2 linked regions of the Macaca fascicularis genome follow. The protein of the gene in region 2 interacts with the protein of the main gene of each other region in a pairwise test. Links are inferred from orthologs where the notes say so. Each region holds a gene or a part of one and is shown on either strand. Other genes may lie near its edges.

Evidence for each region.
Region 1: the proteins of DMRTB1 (region 2) and IL16 interact in a two-hybrid assay, tested with the Homo sapiens proteins (2 studies listed by BioGRID). The two-hybrid records come from large-scale screens. The link is inferred for Macaca fascicularis from reciprocal best matches to the Homo sapiens genes DMRTB1 and IL16.

What each region holds. Positions count from the first base shown.
Region 1 is NC_088381.1:58,649,114-58,652,861, forward strand, and holds the start of IL16 (pro-interleukin-16), read left to right. Parts: upstream 1-993; 5' UTR 994-1,116; coding exon 1,117-1,156; intron 1,157-3,748. UniProt on the Homo sapiens protein: Interleukin-16 stimulates a migratory response in CD4+ lymphocytes, monocytes, and eosinophils. Primes CD4+ T-cells for IL-2 and IL-15 responsiveness. Also induces T-lymphocyte expression of interleukin 2 receptor. Ligand for CD4.
Region 2 is NC_088375.1:181,219,695-181,223,442, forward strand, and holds the start of DMRTB1 (doublesex- and mab-3-related transcription factor B1), read right to left. Parts: upstream 2,481-3,748; 5' UTR 2,458-2,480; coding exon 1,887-2,457; intron 138-1,886; coding exon 1-137.

The sequences.
Region 1 (3,748 bases), on a different chromosome or scaffold from region 2:
AGGCTTTCCCTTCCATTCAGTCTCACATTGCTATGTCCAGAAAATCATCACACTCTTCCACTAGAGGGGTGGATATTACTTTCTCAGGTTTCAGTTCTGTTTGCCCACTCACTGTATATTCTTTTGGTCTTTCCAACGGTGATCCAAGGATTTATTTAACCCAGCGGTCAAATTGGTCATTTTAAATAATAGTACATCTTGTCCAAGTCCAAAAATAAAATGTCCTGGTATGAGAAGGCAAGCAGAGGAAATTGGATAGAGTAGGCTGAAAACATTTTACAGCACCATTACCCAGAGCCCAAATCCCTTTTTCATTTATCCCTTTTTTGTCCTGGCATGGCAGGAGTCAGAGCGCCTTCTGTTTGTGTTGATTAAAGTCTGCCTCCACCTTCCCCCGAGCCCAGTTGCCCTTCTCAGGACACAGGCTGCATTCACCATGGGTCTCTCTGCCCAAGCTCTTTGCAGATTTTATGAAAGGCGTTTTCACTTGGATTAAACAGGCACTGTGTTTGTGTGTGGTGTGTGTGAAGGAGAAAATGAATCACTTCAACTTTGGGCAAGGATTTTAGGTGTTGTGTTTGTCCCATGCAATTACATAAACACACCAGAACTCATTAAAAAAAAAAAAAAAAAAAAAAAACACAGTAGAAGAGAGGGGCAGAGATTCAAGTGCTTGCGATGATCTAAACAGTGCGGCACATTTTCCATACATTAGACCTCAGAAAGGGTTGTGTTCTGCCCTCTCACAACAGACTCCAAGTCCAAAGGAAAGTTTGAGGTTTTACATTTCTGTTTGTGGTACAGGAAAAGGCTTATGATCTGAGGGCTTGATTCAGTGAAATAACATTGCCTTTATACACATTTGCTTCTCAAGGAGGGCAGGAGTTGGAAACGACCGTTGTGAAACGTTAAAGATTTTCTGGCAGAGGGAAAGGGATTTTTTTTTCTCCCTCCCTGCCGAGGAAAAAAACAGTTGTAACGAGGAGTTACTTTGTAGTTTTAACTCATATTCAAATACTCCCAGTCGAGAAGCTGCCATCGACCCTCCCATGGACCCCTGATCCTGGTTTGGAGGAACTTTTGACAACTCTCTCTCCCTCCTTCAAACCCTGTGTGATGAGTTTGCAGAAGAGAGTCTTCCCGAGAAGGCAGAACGGTGAGTGGAGCTGCTTCTCCTATCCCAGGGGACTCAGGGGAGGTTGGAATGCAGGGGTGGACCCTTCCTGACGACCTCCCAGGGGAGTGGAAGCATGGTTTTGGCCACACTGTGTAGTATATGAGTGAGTGTGTCAGTGGTGTGTGTGCTCACATGTAAGTGTGTGGGGGCACACATGTGTGCTGCAGTAGGACACAATGCCTGTCTTTGCAGAGGCTGGCTGAATGCTTACCATGTGCTTGGCAGAGAGTTCAGGAAGGGCAATTGCAGGACCCCCCAGGGATGAGAGTGAACCCTGGCCAGGGCAGTGGCTTTCCGTGTGCCCTGGCTTCCTCTTCATGGGGCAGAGGCATCAGTGTCTAAAACGCTGTAGCTGTCAGGGTCCCCACCAGCTCCGCTCCAGTTTCAGCAGAAGCAGAGCGGAAGAGGGAGCTGCTCAGCTCCGGGAGAAGTGAACGGAGCGCAGGTCTCTGGAGAAGATCTGAGAACTGGGAGGGGCCTCCATCCAGACCCCCTACCTTCCTGCAGGTACAGCCCAATAGATGAGAGCATTTCTTATTACGATCTTCTTCCTTTGCTCTGGAAACATAAACAGGCATCAGAGCAAAACGTTTTAACCCTTCTGCCCAACTTTTAAAGTTAACACTGGCGAAACTTCAGGTCCGTTGCAACTTTGGCATAAGAGTTTTCCTTAAAAAGGAGAAGTAAGCAAGTCAAAGGCATATTCTGACTTTTCTAGCTCCAGAAAGACATGGCTGGAACCCTGGCATCCGCTTGCTTAGGCTGCATTAAGGCATCTGCTGAAGTCTGAAGAAAGGCAGTGGGGTATAGGGAATAAGAACCTGGGCCATGGGGCGTGGCCACCTGGGATGGAATCTTGGCTCTGAAGGTAACAGGCTCCTTTATCTGGGAAAAGGTTTTCAAAGGCTCACTTTCCTCCTTTGCAAAACGGTGGTCATAAATTCTTACCTCACAGGAAGGCAGAAACAATAACTAAGATAAAGTATGTGAAATGACCCAAATGGCATGTACATATTCAGAGGACATGTCAGCTCTCCTAAGCAGGCTGCTCCCCTGTTCTGAAACAGCAACCATCATAGATATACAGGCTTGAGGATGAAGAAAAGAGTACTTGAGGGCCCAAAGTAGCCCTGGCTCTTTGTGTAGCAGAAAGTGGGGTGAGCATTCAGGTGGTCTCCCTTTGGAGGCAGACGACATGGATGCATTTACTTCCACTGGGGATCTTTGAGGCTGGGACTTGACCTGGTGTTTACTAGGTGCTCAGTGTTTGGTGAAACCATTTTATTCACTCTGATTCACGGGGAGGTCTTACCACTTCCTACCCTGGCTGCACTGCCTTTGGTTGCGTTTCCCTGGTAACAGATGGTGAGACAGAGATTTGCACATACAAAGTTCATTGGTGTGTGCTCTGGGAACAACACCAGTGTGGGGTGAGGGAGGCGGAATCAGACAGATGGAGAAGTTGGGCTGTGATGCAGTTGCAACACCGGCCTCAGCAGATCCAGGGGATCCTGTGGGGTTTTGTATCCCTGCAGTGACCAGTCATTGCTTGTGGGCTGCCCCTGGAACCCAGGCATAACCTTGGGCGAGGCAGCTGTCTTTGGCTGAAGGTAGTTTCTGGAGAGGGACTCAGTTGTGAGTTGTCACAGACAACCCTATGCCAGCTGTGGGAATGAACGCCTCGGCCCAGGGTTGAGGAGCTTATCTGGGCGATGCCCCATCATCTACTCAATACATTTGATGCAGTCCCTTCTTTTCTCTGAGTTAGGCTGTTAGAAGATTGGGCATTCACATGCAGGGACACCTGTCCAGTTAAATCCTTGCATAGCAGTGTGACTTTGGATAAGCCCCTTTCCATATCTGGGACTCAGTGTCCCCGTCTATAAAGTGGATGGAAGGGTGTTGGACTAGAGATGGCCCCTAACAACACTCCAGCTCTGCTATTTCACATATGCAGATTCTGAGCATGTGGCCATGGTGGTTGGATGTGTCCTTAATAATAGTTGGGTCCTGTGGTCTCCACCGTAGGTGCCTTGACTCCTGCTGGGAAATATGAATCGAGATACCTGGGGATCCTTGGGACTTGGCCAGCTGTCAGCAAGGAGGGGCTGGGCCTGTGGGAAGCAGAGGGAGGCTCTGCGTAGGGCTGGAGGGTGGGGCATAGGGTTTGAGGAGGATTCTGCTGCACACCTTCCCCCACACTCCCACAACATTTCTCCCCCCTCAAAAAAAGTAAAACCACATGAGACACTGCCATATGTCTTTGATAGTTAAGAGCTATGTAATGTTGCCCGGGACAAACTTGGATGTAGTTTTATTACTCTCTGTCTCCTCCTAATTTCCTATTTACTTTTCAATATACAAAGAGTGAAATCACTTTCCCAAACACTTGGAATTCATTTTCATTGCTTTTTTTCTTTTCTTTTCTCTTTCTTTTTTTGAGACAGGATCTCATCTGTCGCCCAGGCTAGAGTGCAGTGGCGTGATCATGGCTTACTATGGCCTCAACCTCCTGGGTTCAAGGAGTTCTCCCACCTCAGCCTCCTTAGTAGCTGAGACTACAGGAGTGTG
Region 2 (3,748 bases):
CCGGAAGCCCTGCTGCAGGGGGACGCCAGGAGGGGCGTCCAGGTAGCCCAGCGGGAACGGGCAGTAGGGGTGCATGCTGGAGCCGCCAGGGTACTCAGGGCCCAGTGCACGGTCCGGGTTGATGCTCACAGGGCGCCCTGAAGAAGGCAAGCAAGGAGGGAAGTGTTAGACACCGCTGGGAAAAGCATCCGCAGGGTGGCACAGGCCGGCGGAGTCGTAAGCGCTGCTGTCCAAGCACAGAAAGCCCACCCCGCCCTTCCTTCCGCTGGGCCCTCACTGCATCTCCATCCTCCAGCCAGCCCCGCTGCTCTTGGAGAGTCCTCGGCACGGCCATCAAGCCCGCTGTGGGCCCCCGGCCTGCGGCTCCCCGCTGCCCACACGCCGTCTGCCCACACTCTGCCTCTACGAGTCCTCCGTGCCAAGTTACTCTTCCTCCGGGTCAACAGTGAACCCGGCCATGGCTCGAGCTCTGGACAGCGATTTGTGTGACTCTTCAATCAACCCTGTCCCTCCCACAAGGACAAGGTCCCTGAGGGCAAGAAATGTGACCCGCGTCCTTCATCACGAATGCCTGGCTCATAGTTCAGCCCAGCCCTGCTTGTCTGTTGAGATGGAACAAAGAAAGGCGGCTTCTCCTAGAATTGCAGTTTCAGACCTGTGACCCCATCAGATGGGGCGTTCCCTGGGGACCTAGATTTTCCTGGAAAGTCAGGAAGGCGGGACGAGCCTGCGGAAGCCTCTGGACCAATGCCCTGGCACACAGAGGGCAGGAGCTTGTCCAGCGTGACCCAGGCTCCCGCCTCGGCCTCAGCCCGTCCCACGACACCACCATGGGGAGACACCAGGAAAACGCGTCCACACCAAACCCCGGGGCTTTTAAAGCTTCAAATGTACATGTGACTTGAAACTGTACTTCAATACCGAAAGCTCCAAGGCACAGGGAACAATGTAATTTATGTACCAGGTGAGGGGCAAAAAGAAAGGCAACATCTTTACAGACCAACTGTTCTCTTACGTGTAGTAAAGCAGCAGGCTCGGCTCACCCGCACGTGGGGAAAGGGAGGGAAGAGGTGCACAGGCGCACTGGTCCAGGGCCGTGCTGAGGGGAGGAGCCTCCCGACCGCGAACAGGGAAGGAAGAGTGCGCAGGCGCAGTCGTCCTTGCGCTAACCTGCCGGCAGGAAAAGTCTCTTATTCTGGAGGAGGAGCCTCCAGCCCAAGGAAATGGCGGGAAGAGGTGCGCAAGCGCAGTAGGACTGGGCTCCTCGAGGCCTCTTCCCGGAGGAGGAAGCACTGCTAAGTCGACTGGACGCCATTTTGTTCTTGCATGCCAGAATGGCACAAACTACAGCTAAATGTTAAAAGCCCTTTGAGCCAAGCGCGGTGGCTCAAGCCTGTAATCCCAGCACTTTGGGAGGCCGAGGCGGGTGGATCACGAGGTCAGGAGATCGAGACCATCCTGGCTAACATGGTGAAACCCCGTCTCTACTAAAAATACAAAAAACTAGCCGGGCGTGGTGGCGGGCGCCTGTAGTCCCAGCTATTAGGAGGCTGAGGCAGGAGAATGGCGTGAACCCGGGAGGCGGAGCTTGCAGTGAGCCGAGATCGCGCCACTGCACTCCAGCCTGGGCGACAGAGCGAGACTCCGTCTCAAAAAAAAAAAAAAAAAAAAAAAAAGCCCTCTGAACCGCCCATTCCCTTATGTTTCCTTTTTGCGAAAAGGTACCCAATCCAAATCCCCGTTCCAAGAAGGGTTTCTTAAAGCAGAAGGTACGTTACCCGTGGAAAGCATTCTCCCCACCCCAAACCCCTATGCCAGCTGCCCATCCGGGCTGGCCTGTACTGCCAGCTCGGGGAGTCCACCGCGGGACTGAGGCCACGACTTACCAAAGTCGGTGAACGGCGGGCCAGGCACGGGCCGCAGCGGCCTGCGCAGGTCCAGGGGGCCGGGGTAGCCACTGCCTGTGGCCTCCGCCCCAAAAGGGGGTCCCGCAAGGCTGGGCATCGCCACGGCGGCTCGCTCGCTCGGCTCCACGTGGCCGCGGCCGCCCAGAACCGGTTGGAAGGCGCTCGGGCCGGGACTCCGGCCCCGCGGGGGCCGCTCGAAGAAGCAGGCGGCCGCGCGGCCCTCGGGTCCCGGCTCGGCGTCTCCGGAGGGAGTCCCCGGAGGCAGAGGGCGCAGGCTCCCGCCCGGGAGGGGAACGGGCGCGGCGGCCGCGGCCCCGGAGGCCTGCTCTGGACCCTGCGCACACAGGGCCGCCTCCTGCTCCTCCTCGGCGGCCTGCGTCTTGAGCACCTTCTGCGCGGCCATGATCTTCTGGCGCTCGGAGATCAGGTAGCACTTCTCGCAGAGGCACTGCTTCCAGCGGCATTTGCCTGCGTGGCCCTTGACGGGAACCAGGAAGCCATGGTTCCTGCATCTCGAGCACTTAGGGGTGCGCACCATCTTGTCGGCCATTGGCAGGGTCAGCCTTCGTAGCACAACCACCACCTCTGGGAGCTGCAGAGCAAGTGGCGCTGGGTTGAGCCGCGCCCCACAAGTCCCTGGTTCTGGGGACATTGGATACACTTGTAACAAAGCACCTCGCAGTGTGTCCCGGGAACTGCAGCAAGAACCTTGCATTTTCCCTCCTTTTGGGGGGTGCACAGTTTGGAGAGTTTCTGTGCTTTGGGTAATTAGATGCAATGGACTGGGTTGCATAAATTCTTAATGGGATTCTATTGCATGTATGTCATTTAGCTTATCTGAAGTCTTAGGCATGTAATTTTCCAAACTCTATTCCCGCCACCGACGGAAGGTATTTGTAACTTCAGGAAAGGCGGAGTGATATTCAACGGTCCACAGATTTAAAACTCGGGAGGAATGTAGCTTTCAGTGTAGAAAAGCACTGTAAGAGGCAAACCGTATTTCTCCTCCCTAAAGCTGCTGCTTCTGTGGCATTTCACTTCTCTGCCGTGCAGAGATGCTTCCAGGATATTCCAGAATATTTTCAAGAGCTCAGTGCAGTGTGATGGTTGCTCAAGGGTATGCCCTTGCAGTAATTCCCGTTTCTTGAGAGTCTTTGTGTAGAAATCCTCTTCTGGAGGATGGCACATTGCTGATGTTCATGCCTTCCAAAGTAAGCATACTTAGAATATTTTAAAGTAAAATAGGCAGAATATTCTGGCACTAAGCCTGGCATAGTGTCCTGTGCCTGTAGCCCTAGCTGCTTGTGAGGATCACTTGAGCCCAGAAGTTGGAGACCAACATGAGCAACATAGCGAGACTCCTGTTTCTAAAAAATTAAATAAAACAAATTCTGCAAGACCCCTGTTTCTAAAAAATTAAATTAAAAAACTGTCTAGCACTAGCTTCAGTAATTGCTTAACCTCATCATGAATTTTGTTATCCTTATAAAACAACGCAAATATTGGGACATCTGAAAAGCTAACACAAACGTCATAGTTTACCCAAGGACATTAAGGTTTTTTTGTTTTGTTTTTTCTTTTTTTTTTTTTTTTTTTTGAGACAGAGTCTCACTCTGTCACCCAGGCTGTAGGGCAGTGGCGTCATCTCGGCCCACTGCAACCTCTGCCTCCCAGGTTCAAGCGATTCTCCTGCCTCAGCCTCCTGAGTAGCTTGGATTACAGTCACCCGCCACCATGCCCAGCTAATTTTTATATTTTTAGTAGAGACGGGGTTTTCGCCATGTTGGCCAGGCTGGTCTTGAACTCCTAACCTCAGGTGATCCGCCTGCCTGGGCCTCCCA